Linked DNA regions of Schizosaccharomyces pombe. The gene in region 4 interacts genetically with the main gene of each other region. Each region holds a gene or a part of one and is shown on either strand. Other genes may lie near its edges.

Region 1 (5,562 bases), on a different chromosome or scaffold from region 4:
ATATCTTTGATTTGCTATCTGATCAGGGAATCCTCCCAAAAAATGCAAAATCACTCCATGCATTTTATTACCATGGAACTCGTTTAAACATGAATATGACTTGCGCTGATTATGGCATTATCCACGACTCTGCCGTTCATATTGCACCATTACCTTCTTCATGTGACATTGATTTCAAAGACTACTCTACATCTGCTTTCCACTTACATTTTTCCCCTTTAACTCCTAATCATGCATCTACGGAAGCTGTGTCGAATTTCAAGCAATCCTCTACCATTCCCTCAATTTCTAAATCCAATTTAACAAACCCTCCTCTTGAATCCGAGAAGAGTTCTGACAAAGCATTACTTACCCGCCCAGCGACTTCTAGAAGACGTTGTTGCCATCCAACTTGCACGAGGATTACTTTGCGCCTCGCTGGCAATTGCTTGCATTGCAATGGCAGATTTTGTGCTGCCCATCGTCTTATGGAAGATCATGATTGCGTTGCTCTTTTCTCTCTCAGAAAGGAAGAGCATGAACGCAACCGTATAAAACTTGAAAAAGAACATGGTGATACCTTGATAAGTAAAGTTTAAAATCCATTCTTAACTTGAACATTTTTACAAAACACCATCTTAGAACTTTTTTTTCTTCTTCTTAAGCTGGAGTTTTATTATTACTGTTATCCTTATTATTATTTTTAATGTTTTAGCTGGCTTTGTTTGCACGGGAGGCCACGTTACCTTTCCCGTCATCTTCGTTTTCTAAATATCTTCCCTTTGACGCTCCGAATTTTATCGTTCCTATAATTTCAATCAGTAATGATGGATCCACGATTTTTTGATCTACTTTTTTTCCCTTTTCAACAGCAGTTACCTCATTTTCGTTTGCATTTTCTAATGTTTTATTTGACTGTTTAATGAATAATCGTACTTCCATTATGATACTTACTTTCTATTTTATTTTTTTCCCGTCTGCCAAGCAGTAGGCTTTTGACATTAGAGCCATGTGTAATTTTCATATGCTCTTTCTAATATTTTACTATCCTCAACTGTAATCGTGAGTTGATTTGGTGAACTCGGTACCTGTAATCAAGCTTAATTGTTTCTATACTACTCTTATCTCTGTTCGCCACATATCTCTTGAATTTACCATCTGGTATTCTCAAAAACTTTTATGAAAAATTCATTGCTTTAAGATCAAAATTACTTAACTCCAGTTGCCTGCTGATTTGGTGCAATGTTTTAATACCTAGTGTCAGCTAACTCATTTTTTTGTGGGTTTCTTGGACTTGACTATCTTGTTTTTCCGATAGATTGCTGAAATATTTTTAAACAGATGAATAAATCTTTGAAAGTTGCTTTAAAATTTTTTTAAGTACTTAGATTTAAACCAGTTATAATTCCTTATACTTGTAATGTAAAGCCCCCTAGCATTTTCGCTTATAGTCATTTGAAATCATGTATTCAACTCTTTTGGTCGGCATCCGATCAAGTAATTTAATCGCATCAATCCAAAATTTATTTTAGTGATGGAAATTTTCATTCAAGTCAGGCAATTCATGTAGATCGATTTTCTACGAAACCCAGTACCCGGAACGTATATCGTAAAAAGTCAACGAAAACTGCTTTGGAAACTTTTTTCTTCATTTTTTTAGCCTTTTGTTTAAAAATTTTCATATTTTGAGAGAGTAATTAGAATAATTGTCATCTTCTCTCGGGTTTTTTGATAAATTATAAAAATCAAAATTGTTGCTTAAATCATTCGTGTTGTTAGAATTTTTCTCCTCTACACTAAGGGAATTGAGTCTTATAATATTTGATTTTCTTTCATTAAATAGACTCATTTACATATATTAAAAAGCTTTTTTTTTTTTTTGGAATTATTCAGAAATTTACCATACCGATAATTATCGTAAACCATGGATGAATCTCTAGCAAAGGACGCCGTTTTTGTAGCCTCTTCAAAGCCTAGTGATTTGACAACTGAAGTCGTCGGACCAGATTTTAACAAGTATGATGAGAGAAAGAAGGCTGGAGGACCTGGCATAACAGTAGAAGAGTTGGTCGAGTCGTATGGAAAAATTGGATTCCAGGCTACCAACCTTCATGATGCGGTGACTATCATAAATGAGATGGTATGTTTAAAATGTAGTTTTTTTTTCTTGATATTCTTTTAGCTTTCATACGCTATTCTGTTAAAATTGTGAAAAAATATGACTTACTTTATGCCTGCTAGGCACATATCGATTGAGCAATACTAATTGTTACAGAGAAATTGGCGCGATCCCAATCCCCCCGAAGAGAAAAGTGATCGTGCTACCATTTTCCTTGGTTACACCAGTAACTTGATATCTTCTGGCGTCCGTGAAGTTTTGCGCTATCTGGTCCAGCACAAATGTGTAGATGTTATTGTTACAACAGCTGGAGGTGTTGAAGAAGACATAATTAAGTGTCTTGGCCCTACTTATGTTGGCGACTTTCATTTAGATGGGAAAAATCTTCGTGCCAAAGGTTTGAACCGTATCGGTAACTTGATTGTTCCAAACGATAATTATTGCCGTTTTGAGGAATGGATATTTCCCATCCTTAATAAAATGGTCGAGGAACAAGAGACTCTTGGTACTCATTGGACTCCTTCATCCTTTATCCGTCGTCTGGGTAAAGAAATCAATGATGAGTCTAGTGTTTTGTATTGGGCATATAAGAATAATATACCTATCTATAGTCCTGCTCTTACAGATGGATCGATTGGTGATATGCTTTATTTCCATACTTACAAAGCGACTCCTCGTCCATTAGTTTTGGATATTGTCGCAGATATCCGAAACATGAATACTCATGCTGTTCGTGCCAACAAGTCTGGAATCATCATTCTTGGGGGTGGTGTTGTCAAGCATCATATTTGCAATGCAAACTTAATGCGCAATGGGGCAGAATGGAGCGTCTACATCAATTCTGCCAACGAATTTGATGGTAGTGATGCTGGTGCTCGACCCGATGAAGCTGTCAGTTGGGGAAAAATTCGTGGCGATGCTAAGAAAGTAAAGGTATGTGACGCTATACTTGTATATAGCAAATTCTAACTTTTGATGTCTGTAGGTTTACGGGGAGGTGAGTCTCTTATTTCCTTTAATTGTGGCCGCTACCTTCGCGAAGTGAATTAAAATAATATAGAATTTAGCTTTATTTTCCTAGAACACGATTCTTATGGGGCGTTTGTTTTTTATACTGATCAAAAGCAAAGGCATTTCAATCTCCTAAAAAGTTCACCAATGTTTGGGTTTTTATAGAAAAAATTATTAAATATACATTAAAATGTTGCTTACAAAAAATCAATTATGTTTGTTTAATCATAAATTTTTTTTTACGAGAAATAATACTAACTTGTCATATTGTTTAGTTAACTGCCTAATGTCATTTTGGTTGTTTGTAATCATGAAGTGTCCGTATTAATATTCCTAATTAGCAACCGTTTAAAAACTACTAGTTTTATATTTCCTTGTCTTATGGTTTATCTCACAATCACCTTACAGCTAGCAGTTCCAAAATTCATTGTACAGCCACACGGATGAGGTGTCAATTGTGAAACATTCAGATTATGATCCACTGTGGCTAGGCATTAGTTATAATAATTATTCCCGTATTTCCGCGTATTTGATATGACCCGCCAGTTCGCAAATATAAACTTCTCAGAACTCCAGTTTACTTTCTGAACACCTATCAAAACATATAAGAGGTAGATGTGTCGGGATCACTACGAAACGCGCTAATTATAGAAGGATTGTAAGTTTAATCTTCGAAGCGAAGAAACAAACTAATTCTTTTACGGTTTTAGTCATTTCCTGCGATTATTTGTCGAGTTCCTTGTAACGTAGAATTTTAGTGCTTTGTATTGTGCTGGCTTCAAGTACTCGTTTAATATTCGTTGTCTACAAAGCTTTATATTGTTAATTTTTATCAGTTTTTGGCTTTGATATACCAAAGCACCATTTTCCAAACAAGTTTAATTTACCCGTCGAAAAAGTGATCGGGTTGATGCGCATCAGTCCCTCAATTTTCCACAGAATACAATTTTACAAAAAACGAACTTTAAACTTAATGGCACCAGAACCCTCTCTCACATATCTTTCGCAGGCCTCTTCTTGCAATGGTGCGACAGACAATAGGAAATTAGTTATTTTAGACTTGAATGGAACTTTGCTATGTCGCGCGCTTGCAGTCAGATCAGAAAAATCCGTATACGAAGCCTCTCGTAATCCTATTCCGAGACCGGGTCTTCATAACTTTCTTAAATACATCTTCGCCAACTTCTCGGTAATGGTGTTCAGCTCATCCAAACCGCACAATGTGCAAGCGATGCTCTCTGCAATCATGAATGAGGAGCAAAAAAAGGCTTTAATAGCTTGTTGGACAAGAGTGGATATGAAACTTACGAAGCATCAGTTTGACCGAAAAGTTCAAACCTACAAAAATTTGGACACAGTTTGGGAAAAAATTCACCACGACAGTACGGGTAAACCTGTTTCTTGGTCTCAATACAACACTATAATAGTTGATGATTCCAAAACAAAATGTGCTGCTCATCCGTATAATCATATAGCTGTGTCTGATTTCGTCGCAAAGTCACATTCCAACATTCCCAAAGACATTGAACTTGCTTGTGTAATTAGATATTTAAAGCATTTGAAATCGGTTCCCAACGTTAGCTATTATATCTACAAATTTCCCTTCAAAATTTTGGCTGATAAGTCACTAGAAGACAATTTAAAATACTTGGATGAACTTGACGAAAACTATAAAAAAGAATGCCAAGTTGATAACCCCCAACCTTGAGATCATTTACTTTTGACCTGTTTCATTCTAATCGGAGCTGATTTTATGTGCTTTTCGACTTGCTTTTAGGTGACTCAACAACTATCAACAACTTACAAAGTATACATAGCTAGGCGGATATTACTAATTATTGTATTATTTTTATGTTATAATAGTTATGAACTAATGAAATCTTAGTAAATTAGAACATATGGTAAAGCATCTCTACTGGAAGTAAAAATGGCAATACTCAAACCCTCAAAGGAATTTCGTTAGTTTTTGCAGGACGGCGGAGCTTCTTTCTTTTGCCTTCTTCAAATAATGTCACTTGTTTCAAATCGCGTCCAAGTGTATCCGGTTTCTTAACCTTATACAAACGAACTAAATGATGAACGGTAGTGAATGCTTCTTCGATAGTAAATAGTTGAGGATCTTTCGATGGTAGTTTTTGATTGCGAGCACGGTCATATCCTTGATTGGGAGGGAAAAGTTTCCAAGCACCGTGATATGACATCTTATATAATAAAGACTCACGCATAGTGGGAGTAGCCGCATCGTCAGTTCGATATTCTCCATTAGGAGTAAAAAAGTTACGCTCTACTATTTCATCGGGCCATAATCCCTGAGAAATTCGGATCATCCAAAGGAACTTGTTCATGTCGTCGCTGCTGTATCCAAGAGTACCACCATATATAATAAGAATATAATCAACATCGTGTTTACGGAGGATAGGGTAAGCTTTTTCTTCAGGTGAAGACATGGCTTT
Region 2 (6,018 bases), on a different chromosome or scaffold from region 4:
TTTAATTCCTGCGGTCAAAATTAGGCTTAACAAGGTTGTTGGTTAAAGCAATTAATTAACAATGGAGATTATTTGTGTTGAAAAAGGATTTTATTAAATGTATGATTTTATAATTTTTACTTCTCAATCCGATTTAATAAAATATTTATGTAAAAATTGGCAGTTCGGTTGTATTAGTAAAAAGCAATACAACATAGATAGCAAATTCAACTGGGTCAGATCTTTAGTATATATTATTTAACAACGGTAAAAATATCAATAAAGCTTAATTAAAGCAAAACATATGCTTCCTTTCGAAGAGTTGGTTATCATATAACACCTAACTTTTATAGAAATTATGTATCAAAATATAAAGCGACATTGCCTATATGTTACTTGCAGTCAAAGAAGGCTCGTAAACTATTTTGATTATGCGATAGAGTATGGTATGTTTTCTGTGATATCTGAAAAACGCTACGATGAATTATTAATTATTTTTGCTACTCTCAAAATCAATAATATCATACAGTATTATGATTTTCGTTTGCCTATTCTTCGAATTATAGTTTGTAGTTCAGCCTTAATATAGGTAATTGGGGAGTATCAGCATCACCAGACGACCTATCTTGTAAAGCAAAGGTACAATGAATAGCGATACTTTACGTATCATTACATAGTGCAATGAGAATTGTTAATAATATCATACATTACACTGTCACTGAAAGTTCGTTTTGTAAAACGTGCTGCATAAACCTTCAGGTAACAATGAACTCGTTACTCAGGCGCTGCGTTGGAAATCAAGCCTTCAAAAATCGTTTCATGGACATTAAAGAGTTTGATTTGAATTTTTGTAAATATAGCATTCTCATTTTTTACTTTTGAGACCTAATTTGGAAAATACATTAGTCCGGGGTTCATTATAGCAGAAAAGCATCTACGCTTCTCAAATACAACAAAATAATGAATCAGGACGTTAGAGTATTTCCAGACAGCATTTATCTATCATGTTCCAAAAAAAAAGCTTCTCTTCGAATAGATAGAGTCGACGGATGCCTTAGTTTGAGCAATTCTCTTGATCTCAGCAAGACACCTGACTATAATAACGTTCAGTTATATGGATTTATTCGATTGAAAATATACAAATATGTAGTTCTTGTTACAAGTTGTGATTTGCATGCAGCAATTCTCGGAAACAATATTTATCGGGCAAGGAAATTTGCTATCTTCCCAATTACAAGGACTCTTCCATTCTCCACGGGTCTGCTAAATATTAAAGATGAGGAAGAACTACATTATATCAGTTTGCTCAATAAACATTTGTCAAAAGGCCAAATACTTTTTAGTCCAACGTTAGATCTAACCTGTTCCCTTCAAAGATTACGCGTACTAACCCAATCTTTTGAACTGACATCAAAATATAATTACCGCTTTTTTTGGAATAAATATGCATTTCATGAATTAATTGAATTGACGAATAAGGATTTAGGCTTTCAAGAATGGATTCAACCGATGATTCAGGGTAATATCGCCATTACTAACTCGTTTTTAAAGACTTATAACCTTAGACTGTGTGTTATTACACGACATTCTCCTGACTATGCGGGTACGCGGTATTTCACCAGAGGTGTAAACGCACAAGGAAGTGCTGCTAATTTTAATGAAATTGAACAAATAATAATGATCGAATCACCCATCACCCTTGAAGAACAAATGGTTCTTTCTTTTACTCAAATTCGAGGAAGTATCCCCATGTTCTGGGCCGAAGTTAATGATCTTCATTATCGACCTTTATTATCTTTACAACCTCTTGATTATAGCGAGACTGTGTTTGGGAAGCATTTTCAAGAACTTGCCAACGATTATGGGGACAATCTTGTGGTGGTCAATCTTCTAGACCAAAAAGGACGTGAAGCACCTCTACGGTCTGGGTTTGAAAAATTATGTAAACGAAATAAAAACCCTCCTTTGTCTTATGTTTACTACGATTATCATAAGCAAGGAAGTAGAAATCTCCCTTTGTTTCTTGCTGAAATTCAAAGTCTCTTGATAGAAGGAAAATATTATGCCGAGCATGGATCTAAAACTACTGCAATGCAAACCAACTTTGTAAGGACAAATTGTATGGATTGCTTAGATCGGACGAACGTCATTCAGACTAGCATTGCACAGTTTATTCTAAACATGCAATTACACGATATTGGTGTACTTTCTAGCTCTGAGAGTTTGGAAGAATATGATAGTTTTTTACAAGATTTTCGCTTAATATGGGCTAATACTGGAGATTATATCAGTGATCTCTACACTGGTACCCCGGCCTTAAAAGGCGATGTGACTCGCCATGGAACGAGAACCATTTTTGGAGCTTTCAAAGATTTATTAAACTGCTTTCGTAGATATATTCTTAACAATTTTTTTGACGGTATGCTGCAAGATAGCTATGATTTGGGTCTTGGAGTATTTCGTCCTTACGACTCACTTTCGATTCCGGACTTGCCTTTGCGTTTTCACTGGACTAGATTTGTGGCACCTGGAATTTTTTTGTTCACCACGATAATATTAACTATACAAGAATTATTTGGAAATCCAAGTCTGTTCTGTCGTCTGTTATATTCTATCCCTATGGTGAATGCTGGAATCTACCTATATTTTCATCGTAGACAATACGTTAATTGGCCTCGTCTAGTACTACCAACGTATGCTAAGGGAGGTTGGTTTTCGTTTCGTAATCATTTCCGAAATATTACTCTTAAAGTGTTTCGTTTTTTGCGTTCCGGCTCTTTCAAAAAAAGTGTCTAACTGTGCATTTCAATAACTAAAGAACAGTATTGCTATAACTCTTAATTAGCAGAAAACGCTCTTTGAACACTCGAAGTTCACTCTTTATTTCATTAGACTTCATAGATGTCAATCTTGCTACTGAACAAAGCGATGCTACCCAACTTTATCAAGTGACTAATTCAGATCATTTTACGTGATTGGTAATTGTAACTTTATTTTCTTTAATTGCTCCAAGCTTCCTACCAATATCAATTAGTAATTTAAGATTTTCATAATTGTTAGAGCCCTTAACAAACTATTGTAGTATGGATAACACACGAAAAAAATATAGCAGACAAAATTAATATTTCTAACTTTTATTAAGTCAGTGTTAAATATTGGGCAACTTTGACCATTGAATCACTGAGGCTTTTGACTCAAGTTTTACTCGGTTTTAAACAGTAAATGAAATATATGAAAAAGCCAAGCTTTCTTTCAATTTCATAAGTGTTGTTCATGTTCAATATTTAGGATACATACTTCTTCCAATTTAGGGGCATTCTGGTTTAATATTTTCAATGAACATGTTATAAAAATGAATTTTTTAAAAGATCATACAGTTCAGCAACGTTTTCTAATACTTCCAATCCAGAATCTTAATTCACAATTCACATTACTGAAAAAATGATGAAGTTATGCCTTACCCGACAGTTTTTGTATGAAAACTCCACAATATTACGAAAATGATTATATACACTTTTACAATCAGCTTAGCATAATTATGCTTATAGAAATGGAAATGCTCACACTTAATTTTGAATATTATTTTAATAGTGGATTTAACTACTCCTAGTACCAAGTCAAAGACTTGAGATCACTTAATGTAGCTTACGGAAGCGTAAACATCTCTCGCAATAATACTGCGTAACGAAGACCTGCAATTTAGTATATTAAGCTTGAACTTACACGTATACCCCTCTTGTTTATGTTAGCAGGAGTGCAATGTTCTGAACTTGTATATTTTAAGCCGTTCTGTTAAATATTATTAATTTAATCGTTTTTCTTTTTAAAAATTATAGCTTTTTAACGCATTGACGAGTTCACTACATACTCTAAGGATACTTAACATAAGTACGAGTACTGCAAACCGTCCATCAAGCTCTTCAAGGCGAATCATACATTTCGAGCGAAATACGACTCTTTAACATATATTCATTATTTAACATATTCACTTAATAATTCAACCCGATTCTGGCAGGATTAGCAACCTGGTCATATTCTTATGATTTATTCTTTAATATTTGTTTGCAACATAACCACACCCAAAATTTAAATTAAGAACTAACTTTTTTACATTAAGATCGAACATGAAAGACATTGAAGGACTTTTGGGCCTATGTGTTTGCTTTGTGGGGTTACCCGCATCTGGCAAGACATCTTCTGCAATGAAATTATCCAGATATTTGACATGGATGTCCGTTTCTACTCACCTTTATGATACGAAAGAAATTGATAATTCGTTGTCCGAAAATTCTAACAGTGATTCAGAGAATTTAGCTAAAACTCTTAGCCCCATATTCGATAATCTGGAGAGCGTTTTTAAAAAGGGTACTGATGTTGCGATTCTTGATTTTAACCAATGTACACTAAAGTTTCGGAAAAGTATAGTGGAGTTGGCAAAAGCGCGGAATATGCTCTTAATGTTTGTCGAGGTTGTCTGCACAAATCAAAAAATTATCGATGAAAACATTACTGATATGTGTCAGCATTCACCATATTTCAAAAGCTTTCCGTTCGAAGAATCGAAGAATAAAATCCTTGATAGTATTCATGAGTATGAGAAACACTACACACCTTTGTCCGAGGCTGAAGAATGTACTTTCGTTAGAATTGTGGACTTTGGAGCCGAACTGATAGTTCATAAACTTGAAAATTACCTTGAATCTAGGATTGTTTATTATCTCTCTAATTTGCGTACGCGTCGACGAAGTATTTGGCTAAGCCGACATGGTGAAAGTCAATTTAATGTTGAAGGAAAAATAGGTGGTGACTCAAGCTTAAGTCCTCAAGGACTAAAATATGCTGCTCTTCTTCCTGAATATGTTGCTAAGTTTTCGATAGGTGAAAAAGGACTTACGGTTTGGACATCTTCAATGGCTAGGACTATCCAAACTGCTCGACACCTTAATTGCCAAAAGCTCGAATGGAGAGCACTGGATGAATTAGATGCAGGAACGTGTGATGGTTTTACTTATGATTATATTGAACAGAATTTTCCTCATGAAGCCGAATTGCGAAATAATGATAAATTTCATTACAGATATCGTGGCGGAGAATCTTATATGGACGTAGTAAGGCGGTTAGAGCCGATTATTATGGAGTTAGAACGACAGGGAGATGTTTTTATTATATGTCATCAAGCTATTCTTCGTTGTATTTATGGATACTATCATAATCTTTCACTTGAGGAATTACCATTTATTAATGTTCCTTTACATACAATAATTAAACTCACTCCAATGACATACGAAACGATAGAGGAGCGTGTTACAGTCCCCATTTCTGCTGTTTCTACTCAACGCGGCAAACATTGAAAGAAAATTCTTCATAATGTGCTGATTTATTCCTTTAACGTTGATCAGAATTTTTCAAAGGTTGTGAATTATTTTTTAATAATAAAATGCAGCATTGATGACTTCAATACAAAATTATTTTTTTCAAAGTTTATTGTTAATTATTCTTCCAGTTACCTAAAGTTCGTATCACTATGCAGATAGCCGAAAGTATTTACTGTACGTGAACAAATCTTTTAAACGAAAATAGAAAGAAAAAAGTAGTTTACTCGGAACCATCAATTGGTTGTGTATGTCATTCATAAAGTTGTTATCTTTAATGCACTATGAAGCATTTAAGACATGAATGGCAAAATTATCTTTTTTTTTTCTAGAATCGAGCTTCAACCACGTTTTACAAAACTGTGGCTGTTGCTCTCGAGATCAATCAAAGTTATACGGTATATACTTTCCAAATAATTAAGCAAGGAAGGATAGCAAATCCATAATTCTAAAGATATCGAAAAACTCACAAAATAGCGAACAAAGTATTAGTAGTTAGAGTACTTTTTGATTAGCCTTAGAGAAAGTCAACAAGATAAAAGTATTTGATATTAAACGTCGCTTTTATATCATATTTTTTAGCAGACTTCTTCAATTTAAAGTCATTAAATAAATCCTATCATCTTCAGCTAATGACAGGACAGAATAAAACCCTTGACATACTCGA
Region 3 (6,072 bases), on a different chromosome or scaffold from region 4:
ATGTTTTTAGAAACAGAAGGCTTTTGAACCTCTTCATCGCTTTTAGCATTGGCAAAACTGGAATCATCCGGTGATGAAGAATCCATTAAATCATGGAATGGCTGTTTTCTTTTGATATCGTTTTCTTTATTGCTTTCAACTTCGGGAAGAGGCGGTGACCGAGAAGACTCATCTACTGTTGAGGCGAGAGAAGTTGCATTCAACTGTTCATGTGGAGCTGAAGAGTTGGATGATGTATCGGAAATAGAAGAAGTGTCAGAATCACGATCTGCATCAAGGGAAGTGCTATTAGAAGAAGTTTTCATTATTGGAATATCGGAATCAGAGATGTCCTCCACCTTTTCATTATGAGCAACACTTGATTTAGTAGCATCAGCTGCGTGAGCACCCGACTCAGAATAGTGATTCAATTGAGAAGTTGTGCTTTCATAATCTTCAGCGTCGTACCAATGTTGCTCAAAATTGGAATCCATAGACATGCGTGACGAAGGAGAAGATTGCGCCGTACGTTCTTTAGTATATTCATGGTGTTGAATAAAGCATTCCAGTTCATGCAACAAAGACCCGAGTTGACGAGTAACCTTGCGTAAAGTAACCGCAGCTTGCGCGTTTTCAGCAGCAGTAATTTCCACTGAAGTACGGGTTTCCTTGTTTTCTTTGGCATCACCGGGAAGTTGTATACGGATCTCAGGGACAGAAAAATTATGACTTGAAGCCGATTTGATACGACTGGTGCGATACAATTGAGCAATATCCAGGCATTCACGTAGTCTTGAGTAAATAGAGACTAACTGATTGGATGACGATTCTTGTGTCCTTTCGTCTACTACGAGCTTTGAAGAAGTTTGACTATTTTTCGCCTTTTCCAAAGCATTGCACCAACGTAGCCAATCTTGGTGAGTATGTGCTCGTAGGTTCCACAGTTCTACGCCTGAATCAACGTTGATCTCATGCGTCTCTGCAGCAACGCTAATCACAGCAATGCTCAAGGGAATTTTACCGCGCATTACCGAAGAATTTTCGTTAGCATAGTATGAGATCGTGCCTTCCACCATGTTGAGAGTGAAGTAACGTCGAGCATAGCCTTGGCCCTTCTTTCGGCGCTTTTTAAGCAAGGTTCCAGAAATAATTTGTTTAGGAGAGCCATGGACTGATGCATTTGGTATTCTCGGACCGTTGTATGGTTGCGCGGTCAAGAGGAAGGTCACAGTTTTTGGTTTTGTTTTCGAAAAAGTGTTATCAAACACGAAGGCATAAAGTCCTCCATTCTCAATGTAGACAGAGCCCTCACTAGGCTTTTCCGACATACATCGCTCTCCTTGATAAAATAATTCTAACCCAGCAGCACTCAACTTCTTGATACCAGCTTCGTGAGTGTGTTGACGCTTTGTATGCAGGATGGAACGATCGGTGTTTTTGTTGGATCCATCTAGCAAGCTAGATGTGTCATTCTTTTTATGATATATATCAAACTTTATGCTTTTCCGTTTCACATGCAGTTGCCAACTCAGTAAGGAATTCGATTCCACCGTGAGCCATTGTATCAACAGACTCTTACTTCGTATCTCCACAGTTTCCATGTTGACTCATGGACTTCTACTGTGATAATTGCAAAACTTAGAAAGCCTATTTTTTTCAATTGATGACTGGAGAGGAATAAAATAATTGCCTAAACGTATGTGGTAAGAGATGGATTTTCGGTTTCGGGATTTTCGGGCGAATGACTCCAAGGTATTTTACCGATGCGGAACGTTCGGTTTTTTGGCGGCCACCTAATGTAATGTATACTTAAGTAGTAAACAAAGGGCTGGTAGCGGCAATAGGTATGCCAGTATGTAAACGGATACAAAGAAAATTTTGCACTTATCACTTTCCGTAGTGTGTACTTGGGATGCCTCGATCGGGCTATTTCAGATATGGCAAAATATACTTTACATTAAAAAATAGCTATACAAAAACATTCGCACGGTCTGTAATATGCGGTTTTATGTTTGTCTACTAGCATTGATGGCATCGTGCGAAATAATGCGGGTTTTTGGGATTAAACCGAAAATCAAATGTTTTCTGTAGTCAAAAAATCTAGCTGTTGTAATTTTTTATTTAATTGTCTTTGAGTATTTCTATTACTGCTTTTACTAATTTTATCATTATCACGGCTGTATTGTTGTAGCTTATTGTGCAAAAAATTTTGGCTAGAAGTTGGGACGGATCTAATGATGGAAGAGGGTAAATAGAGAGTTCCCATGTACTCATAAACTTTGAAAATTGGCATAATTTCCCATAACACAATACCAGCTCGATTTTCCATTTCATAACACAAAATTTACATACCTATGCATCTGATAACCCATAGACCGCGTACCTTAATTAAATAAAGTGCAGATTGGTTGCTCGTATCGAACGCTAGCGTTGTCTGCAATGTCGCCGTGGAGATGTTTACCAAAAGATAGCACGTTACGCCATATAATCTTATTACAAGGTTGCTTTGAATCACACTACTTTGCCTCGTGCACCTTTTTTATCGCTAACAAATTAGCATCAGATGCGCGGATCATGTTTAAGTCGGACGGTATGCAGCAACATGCACATGCTAACCACCTATATACACGAATAACGAATTTCATCCTATAAAGTCAGCTGGCTCGACTTGCTATGCAAACCCCTTCTTCTGCATCGGCAGAGTCTGAAAAGGATTCAGGAAACACCTATGTTGGGCCTTGGCTTTTGGGAAGGACTTTGGGACAAGGAAACTTGGCCAAAGTGAAATGTAAGTACATGAGGTGAAATTTAGTTGACTTTGTCTTGTAGGGGCTTGTTAATAAGATAGAGTAGACTACTTATAGACAGTAGAGATAGACTACTTAGGTGTCATGGTTATCTTGCGCATCGATCGTCTTTGATTTTGTTTTTGGCAATTGTACGATGGCTAACAGTGTAGTGGGCAAGCATTTTCAAACAAATGAAAAGGTCGCATTGAAAATGGTTTACAATGATGAATTGGAAGATAAAGATACGTGGAAGCGTTTACAAAGAGAAGTGACAATCTTAAGGCAATTGCACCATCCAAACATTATCACCCTATACCAGGTGTTTCGGGTTCCCAAGTACACAGTGCTCGCACTAGAGTATATGGATACTGATTTGCACAGTATGGTGGTTAAGCATAATCGACTGGATGAATGTACCACTCGCAAGATTTTTCGACAAATTGTCCATGCCATCGATTATTGTCATCTTCATCGTGTTGCTCACCGAGATTTGAAGTTGGAAAACATTTTACTTAATAAAGATCTGGTTGTCAAGCTCACGGATTTTGGCCTTTCCAATTTTATGCTTGATGGTTCCTTTCTGAGTACCTCTTGCGGTACTCCCCATTATGCTGCTCCTGAGGTTATTCAAGGCCGTTATTATGATGGTTGTGATGTAGATGTATGGGGTTGCGGAATCTTATTGTATTTGATGCTCGTCGGCGAGTTTCCCTTTGAGGATGTAACCATCTCCAATGTATTAAGTCGCGTTTGTAAAGGAATCTACACCATTCCTAGTTTTGTATCTTCTTCAGCCTCAGATCTCATTCGTCAAATGTTAATGGTGCTTCCTACTTCACGAATCAAAGTTGCAGAAATAATGCAACATCCTTGGTTTATCGCTGATCTTCCCACGCATTCCCGTTTACCTTCCCGTACTTCATCCTTTTCTTCCAAGCATCGATCTGTCACCTTTTCTCCTCCAGATCTTGCTATTCTTTTCGACCCTTCCATAACTTCGCCTTCCAGTAGTGTAGGTCAAATTCCTCAGCCCACAGATCACTCAGCCCTATCCCCGTCAAAACCAATGTCCATTTCAGGTACTGAATCTCCTAATCCAGATCCCGCATCTTTATGTTATTCGTCGTATGAGGACTTGTATTCGGCTACTTCGTGGCATTCTGACATGGCAGAATCATCCGGATTTTTAGATCCTACTGATATTCCACCAATTCCTTCTAACGTTGAAACTTTACGCTCTTCTCTTCCACAGAGACATGCTTCATTCATGAATAAGGTCTACAACCATCCATTATCCCGACCTCCCGCCCCCAACCGACTTCGTTCTTTACGCTGGCATTATGGGATTCAAACTGCCAAAAATCCAATTGAAGTATTGAGAAAGCTATGTGAGGCTTTACTTGAGTTAGGAGCTCGGTTTCGGCCCTGTGATGAGGAATCTTTTCTAAAGGAAAATAAGTATAAAGTGTTTTCATGCATTACATGTCATAATTCTCCTGTTTATCTGGTTATTGAATTATTCTCTATTGGACCATCTGCTAGCGTGATTGATATCCGCTTTTCTAGTAGTGATGATTCTATAAAGTACACTTCATCTTACAGTCCAATGCCATTTTTAGAAGTTGTCAAACAATTGATCCTTAAAATTGCATAAGGTCAGTCGCGTAACTCAACCTAATTCCCTTTTTTATCCTTTTTTTTTCTTTTACGATTTTTTTTGTTGTAAAGCTTTTGTTTTCAATATTGTTTGCATTTACTAATATTGTGAAACTAAGTTGAATTTTGATATTTTTGTTACGACTTTCTCATTTAGTTTCAATTAGAATTCACAGTTGTTACATTTCCCTTTTGTTTTTTGAATTTGTTAGTTATTTCACAAACAATGAAGATAAACAGTTGTAATATTACAACAGAATTATGCTAATGTAATTTACTACAATCTTTTATTTTTATTCATGAAGTTAAAGAGTGAAGTAGTGTATATGCATTAAATGTGAATGTTTGTCCATACTCACAGTAATTCCTAGTACGGAATATAAAAGCAACCAATTAATTTTTGGAAATTGTGGAAGTGCCAAGTATGCCGTATACGTATATTTATTGTTCATGTGAAATTTAAGGGATAAGATGCTTCCTTTGGAAAAATGAACGTAAATAGAGGATTTGCCATATAACAAGAACAAATAATGAGATAAAAGTAAGATATGCAAAATTCTTGACACGCTCATTAGTACTTTCATTAGTGTTTCTGAATCTAGCTTCGCGAGCTTGCAAATAGTAAATTTTTCCTTTGATTTCTTCAATGAAGTCTCTTGCACGACGGATATCAGCTTCTACAGGTTCCAAGTTGTTTGCTTTTTGCAATGAAGAATAATCATCGGCGTCAGCGCCTACAGTAAACTCAAGTTTGACGGATCGCTTTTTATGTTCAGACTCTATAGCACCTACATTTAAATGTCAGTCAGAAAGCTAAACTCATAAAGGATTTCTTTTTCAAAGAAAGAAAGGGATCTAAACAACGTAAACAAATCAAAATAGCCGTTGAAGTAAATACGACTTTTAGATATAGTACCATACCTGGTGTCAAAGTATTTAGGAAGCAAATATCGAGCATAGCAGAAGCATCAACGTCAAAGGCAACACTCTTCTCGCCTAAGACATTTTGAATACTGCTATGAGTGTTGCCAGATGAATCAGTTATCATCATACTCAAGGTTTGTCCATCTCCCATATTACCAGTAGTTTTCAGATTAACAATTACAAGGTTCTTTTCTCCTACGTATTCACGAAGACAGAAAGGCTCTGGATTGGTTTTGGCAGGAATATCAAAGTTTAAAGCATGGACAACAGTCAATAATGCTAGCATAAAGAACAACGAAGATTTCAAAGAAACCATCATTTTGAAATAACTCCAAATGTTTGGGATACGATATGAACGACGTAATAACCACCACTGCTGTATACAGGTTGGCAAAAGAAAGAAATCTTGCCTGTTCTAGTTAAATGATGGTAAACCGAATGCCAAGGGGGAGTGTGCGCTGCGTCTCATTAACTTTCCTTACAGCTACAATGCAACAAAAAATACAAAAATAAGAATTCTGAGATACTTCCTTACGAATCAACTTTTATTAGTGTAAGAAATAACTCAATTTTTTTTTGCGGATCTCTTATAGCCTTAAAAAATGAGTAAGGGGCGTTGAAGGGTTTCATTTAGCAATGTAAACATAAGATAGCCATCGATATCACTAGCAAAAAGTGATAGGTTATAAAGCAAGAAAATGAATAAAAGAATGGATTTAGTTAA
Region 4 (4,873 bases):
CAATGTCTCTCTTGACGAAATCATTGAGGTCGCCCGTACTATGCGCTTCAAGTCTCTTGCTAAGGAGCTTTCTGGTACCGTTAAGGAGATTCTCGGTACTGCCTTCTCTGTTGGTTGCACCGTTGACGGCAAGAACCCTCACGACGTTCAAAAGGAGATCGACAATGGCGAAATTGAGATCCCCCAAGAATAATCGCATACATAAGTTAATGTAAACGGATTATGTGCTTGCTTGGTAGTATACGGGTTTTGTATAAAACAGCAATGTTTAGATCTTGATGTTTTTGCTATCTTTTTATAGGGTTCAAAAAATACAGTGTTTAATATAGGTTTCTCTTGCATATCTGACATCCGGGAAAACATCCAAAATTTTGCACTGGATACTTTTAATTTAAAAGTTGTAAACGTTAAGGCGCTTGTAGTTTAATTGTGCTTTAATGATATTATTTGTTGTTGATGTCGGGTTTTTATAAATTGTATTCATGAAAATATTTCCTGGAATGGTAGAAAGAAATGTTCATACTTGATGAATGGTCCGTTTTAACACATTAAACTATGACTGTAATTACATGTGATTTTGTTTTTATTTTTGAATACTATCAACTGCTCTTGAGCTAAGATACTAAACTAATAATTGCCTGTTAAGTTCATAATCGTTGTAAGCATATAGTAAGGTAAAGCAAACGTAGCAGCAAATACCCAGTTCAATAAATGGAGTTTTTTCACTATCTACAAGTAAACTATAATAATAACTTTGTAAGGAACGAATGAATGATTTGCTCTTTCTTCAAGCTCTTTTAGTATTCTAGAAATCGGTTTAAAATGCCAATTCAAAATTACGATTAATTAAAGTAAAAAATAAATATTAAATAATCTAACTGATTACTGATTTTGATTCGTACATTTCATATAAAAGGGAGAAAGTATATCCCAACATCGTTTATAGACATTTTCTTTGAACCATCTCCTCACCATAGCACAGTAAACATTACATAGCGATACGCAAAATAGCACCACTATGTTTGACACAATCATCACTCCAATTCACTACGCTTCATTTGCGCATCCAACATGTCTCACTAAAGTTGGCTGGTTCGTACATATTCACCCTTGTCAACTGCGTATATCCCGAATTCAATAAACGTGTTATTTTGACGCGCATATACGTCTATATTCATAATGTCAGATTACAAGAGTCTTAAAGTTGCAGAACTGCGTGAAAAACTTGCGGAGAAAGGCCTCTCCACTGCTGGAAACAAAGCTGAATTGGTAAGCCGATTGACAGCAGCGACCGAGAGTAACGATGAAAATACTTCGAATAACAACGCTACAGATCTAGGAGATCTTGCTCCTCCCGAGGATGATATTGATTGGGGAGACATGGAGAATGATACTATTTCAACTGACGTTAACAAGCCAGCAGAACCCGAAAGTAAAGAGACCAGTGCTCCTGCCGCTGCTGTAGAGATTGAAAAGGAAAATGAAAGCATTATTTCGAAAGAGACTTCACAAGCTCCTGAAACTTCCACTGGTGCTGAAGAGCATCAAGAAACCACAGAGGAATCCAAACAAAGTGTATCTAATGAAGTCTCTAGCCCAGATGTAGCTAAAGAGCAAGAAAAACTCATCCAAAGGGCTAAACGATTTGGCATTCCTGTGGACGATGAACAAATTAAGAAAGCTGCTCGTGCTGCACGTTTTGGCATTCAACAACCTTTAGCGTCAAGTAATAACAAAAACCATAATCAATCTAAGAACCCTCAAAATCGTTCCAACTCACGTTCTAAACAAAGAAATAAGAATGCGCCTCCTAAAAGTGCTCCATCCAAGCGGAAGAGTAATATTTTGGACGACCCTATAGAGGCAGAAAAAGCTAGGAAGCGTGCTGAGCGCTTTGGTGTTGCTGCCAAGAATTAAAGTAACCATTTAACATATTTTAACTTCTTATTTTACAATATGACTCATGTTTCTTGAAGTTTTCTCCTCATGCCATGCTTTATTTGTATGCTTAATGCTTTTTTGATGAATTAGAACTTTTGAATTCCTATTTGTGTATATAAATTATACCCAGACTTTTGCTTCACTTTAAACAACTTATCCGAGTACAAGCATCCGATATTGGAGCCCTAAACGCTTCTAATTTCAATCCTACCTTTTAGGTGTGTTTTAAAACATCTGTGAAAACTCGGTTTTATTTTTTTAATAGCTTTTTGGGGCGTGATGTAAGTATTTCCTAGGCGAATTCTTTAATAGTTACCTATACTCATATGTTTTCCATTTTTAAAAAACTCTTCGTTCTAATCGTTTTGACATACACATTCGTTACAAAGATTTTCCACTCTGCTATCCATATGTATATATTTTGATGAGCTTATTTGTATTTAAGAAAAAGAGAAGGATTGTAATGTTTATATGATGTATCCACCTTTACTTCCAACAATGTCGAAATTCTTAATTTTTGTACATAAACTATTTTCTACAGGTTGGAATTTTATTTTTTTATTATACCTTTTTGTTTCTCAACTTCGGACTTCTTCTGTAACGTGCGACTTTACCTGTTTTGCTGTCATCGGTAAGTAAGAAAAAGTGAAAAATTTGACATTGCTGGCTGTAATGTTCTTTTGCGTTTTCTCAATTAGAGTCAATTAAAATGCCTTTTAATGGGAAAGAGTAACATCATTGTTTGTTTACATGTTGAAGTTTGTTTGTTTACAAACATGGCTTTTTAATCGACTTTTCTCAGAGCCACCTTCACCGTGTCTCAGCTACCCATTATTACAAAGTTTTGACTTTTCAACTCAACTAGTATCGCTACCTTTAAGAATATAAGAGTTGTTTCTATATCTTTTAATCCAGCCTCTATCCTGTTTACGCATCATGAATGCGAAATTATCTTCCTCCGGAATGGTACTGAAAGAGCTTCCGGAAGTCGCTTTGCAAAAGATAAGCTCAAACTACTATTGGGCTGTTTTTGCAGTGTTCCTGCTGTGCGCAATTGTCTTTCCTTTAGTATCGATATTCAGTTTGCCTCAAAAGCAGACTTACCACCGTTTCTTTTCCATCCTCAGTTTGGTTTCTTGCTTGGCCTACTTTACCATGGCCTGCAATTATGGATTGAAAAATGTGTTTTCTTCTGCTTCTTTTTTTCGAGAAGTTAGTGTACGAATGGTTTACTATGTTCGCTATATTCAATGGTTAATCAATTTCCCATTAATCATCGTAATGCTACATTGGACGGTAGGCGTATCTATACTAGAAATTGCATATGTCGTTTGCTATGTGCTTTTTGCGATTGTTTGCTTACTGGCGGCAGCATTAACTTCATCTCCCTATAAATGGGCCTATTACGGATTTTCGTTTGTAGGCTATTTTATTGCATTGGCACACTCAGTCGTTTTGCATAAAAAGTATGCTAGCCGTTTAGAGACGTCTGCGCGCCTAGGGTTTTTATGGTCAATTGTTTACTTACATGTCATTTGGTTCCTCTATTATGCATGTTGGATTTTATCTGAGGGCCTCAATGTTATCTCGCCAATTGGAGAAGCCATATTTTACAGTATATTAGATCTTTTCGAATTCGGCTTTTTTGGCGCTGCTTTTTCTTGGATGCTAGACTTGGTTGGTATTGAAAACTTTAAATCGCCTCAATCGATACCCTTAGGGGCATGCAGTCCTGCTGATGACAAGTTTTCAATGTGTCCGGACATGGAGGCACAAAACCAAGCTGATGATTTGGCCGTTGAAACTCGCATTCAAATTTCCAATTTACCTTCTTCACCTACGAAAAATAATTGCTAATAACAGTACGCATCGTTGCAGTTATCTTTGCTTAGTTATAGAAATTTACCTTCCGTTTTTTTTTTTTTTGTTTTTTAATCATTATTTGTTTCCTGAATGTTTAAAACAAACTCGAAGTTTCGCTACGAGAATTTCGTTGGCATTCTAAAACACAAACACTTTTTCGTGAAAAATTACGATTATGAAAACGAAATAATTATTATAAAAACGAAACCTTTGAACAATTATTAACGTTCATTCGCACTTGAAACGTCTAAATTTACGACGGTGAGTCATTGTTTACGTGAAAAAAGCATTATACTAGTTTTAGTTTAAGATTATTCGTAAATCATTTGCATAACTTTTACGAAACTTTACAAGGCATAGCTAATATTAATACAAAAATTTGCTGTTGAGATACAATATACGTTTAAACATTTCATAGAATAATAAATAAAAACTAAAAAAAAGAAACAAATAGTGCCCAAAATGGTAAATAGCCACTTTCAACGAATGAAGTAAGTAAAACTAGCATGAGCGATGCAAGTTTGCAAAGTGTTATGGGTATTTAAAGTCGAGCAGACTTAGAAGTATTATTTTCGTTTGGCTCACGTAAGTCTTGAATTGATATATGCTGCAACGGAGGAACTGTACGAGCACTGGGTCTAGCCGACAAACGACTAGCTTTAGAGGAAAAGCTAAAACGAGCACCTGACGTACGCGATGCATTTTCGTTTTCTTCATTCGAACTAGATTCTTGTTGAGAACGTTCGTACTCTTCCTCTTCGGCTCGGCGACGTTCCTCAGCTTCGCGTCGCATGGCCTCTGTGCCAGCGTTTTCAATGACAGCATCGGGAAGACTATCACGACCAAGCCTTTTACTTCCAATATCAGCAACATCATCAAAAGCAGGCATCAGATGCCGTGTTCCAAGGGAAAAGTCAACACGCTTTTTAGAAACACTAGCGGTATCGGAATCTGAACTACCAGGAGGAGTAGGTTCGCGGTAAGGATATGCTTTTGGGTTCTTCAGAATTCCTCCGCCAACAGTGCTGTCGCGATGATTTTCAGTACCACCACCATCATTACCACCAGA

The links.
Region 1: mutations in mug73 (region 4) and SPOM_SPBC1271.03C together harm fitness less than expected from each alone (positive genetic interaction), as found in Schizosaccharomyces pombe (one large-scale study listed by BioGRID).
Region 2: mutations in mug73 (region 4) and fpb26 together harm fitness less than expected from each alone (positive genetic interaction), as found in Schizosaccharomyces pombe (one large-scale study listed by BioGRID).
Region 3: mutations in mug73 (region 4) and ppk9 together harm fitness less than expected from each alone (positive genetic interaction), as found in Schizosaccharomyces pombe (one large-scale study listed by BioGRID).

The regions. Positions count from the first base shown.
Region 1 is NC_003423.3:363,512-369,073, forward strand, and holds SPOM_SPBC1271.03C (NLI-interacting factor-like phosphatase family protein), read left to right. Parts: upstream 1-3,694; 5' UTR 3,695-3,767; exon of another isoform or gene 3,768-3,819; 5' UTR 3,820-4,082; coding exon 4,083-4,817; 3' UTR 4,818-5,046; downstream 5,047-5,562. Other genes in the region: SPOM_SPBC1271.05C (zf-AN1 type zinc finger protein, involved in ER membrane translocation), read left to right, coding at 1-578; dys1 (eIF-5A-deoxyhypusine synthase), read left to right, coding at 1,904-2,119, 2,255-3,031, 3,084-3,143; oligosaccharyltransferase subunit Stt3, read right to left, coding at 5,047-5,562.
Region 2 is NC_003424.3:2,058,563-2,064,580, reverse strand, and holds fpb26 (fructose-2,6-bisphosphate 2-phosphatase), read left to right. Parts: upstream 1-3,694; 5' UTR 3,695-4,103; coding exon 4,104-5,330; 3' UTR 5,331-5,518; downstream 5,519-6,018. Other genes in the region: sac12 (inositol polyphosphate phosphatase), read left to right, coding at 940-2,775.
Region 3 is NC_003424.3:1,603,670-1,609,741, reverse strand, and holds ppk9 (serine/threonine protein kinase Ppk9), read left to right. Parts: upstream 1-2,592; 5' UTR 2,593-2,652; coding exon 2,653-2,767; intron 2,768-2,938; coding exon 2,939-4,422; 3' UTR 4,423-4,669; downstream 4,670-6,072. Other genes in the region: sterol transfer protein Osh3, read right to left, coding at 1-1,580; COPII-coated vesicle-associated protein Erv25, read right to left, coding at 4,884-5,212, 5,346-5,667.
Region 4 is NC_003421.2:622,532-627,404, reverse strand, and holds mug73 (transporter mug73), read left to right. Parts: upstream 1-2,877; coding exon 2,878-3,798; 3' UTR 3,799-3,889; downstream 3,890-4,873. Other genes in the region: rpl1202 (60S ribosomal protein uL11), read left to right, coding at 1-193; RNA-binding protein mlo1, read left to right, coding at 1,180-1,917; msy1 (MS ion channel protein 1), read right to left, coding at 4,346-4,873. UniProt on the Schizosaccharomyces pombe protein: Has a role in meiosis.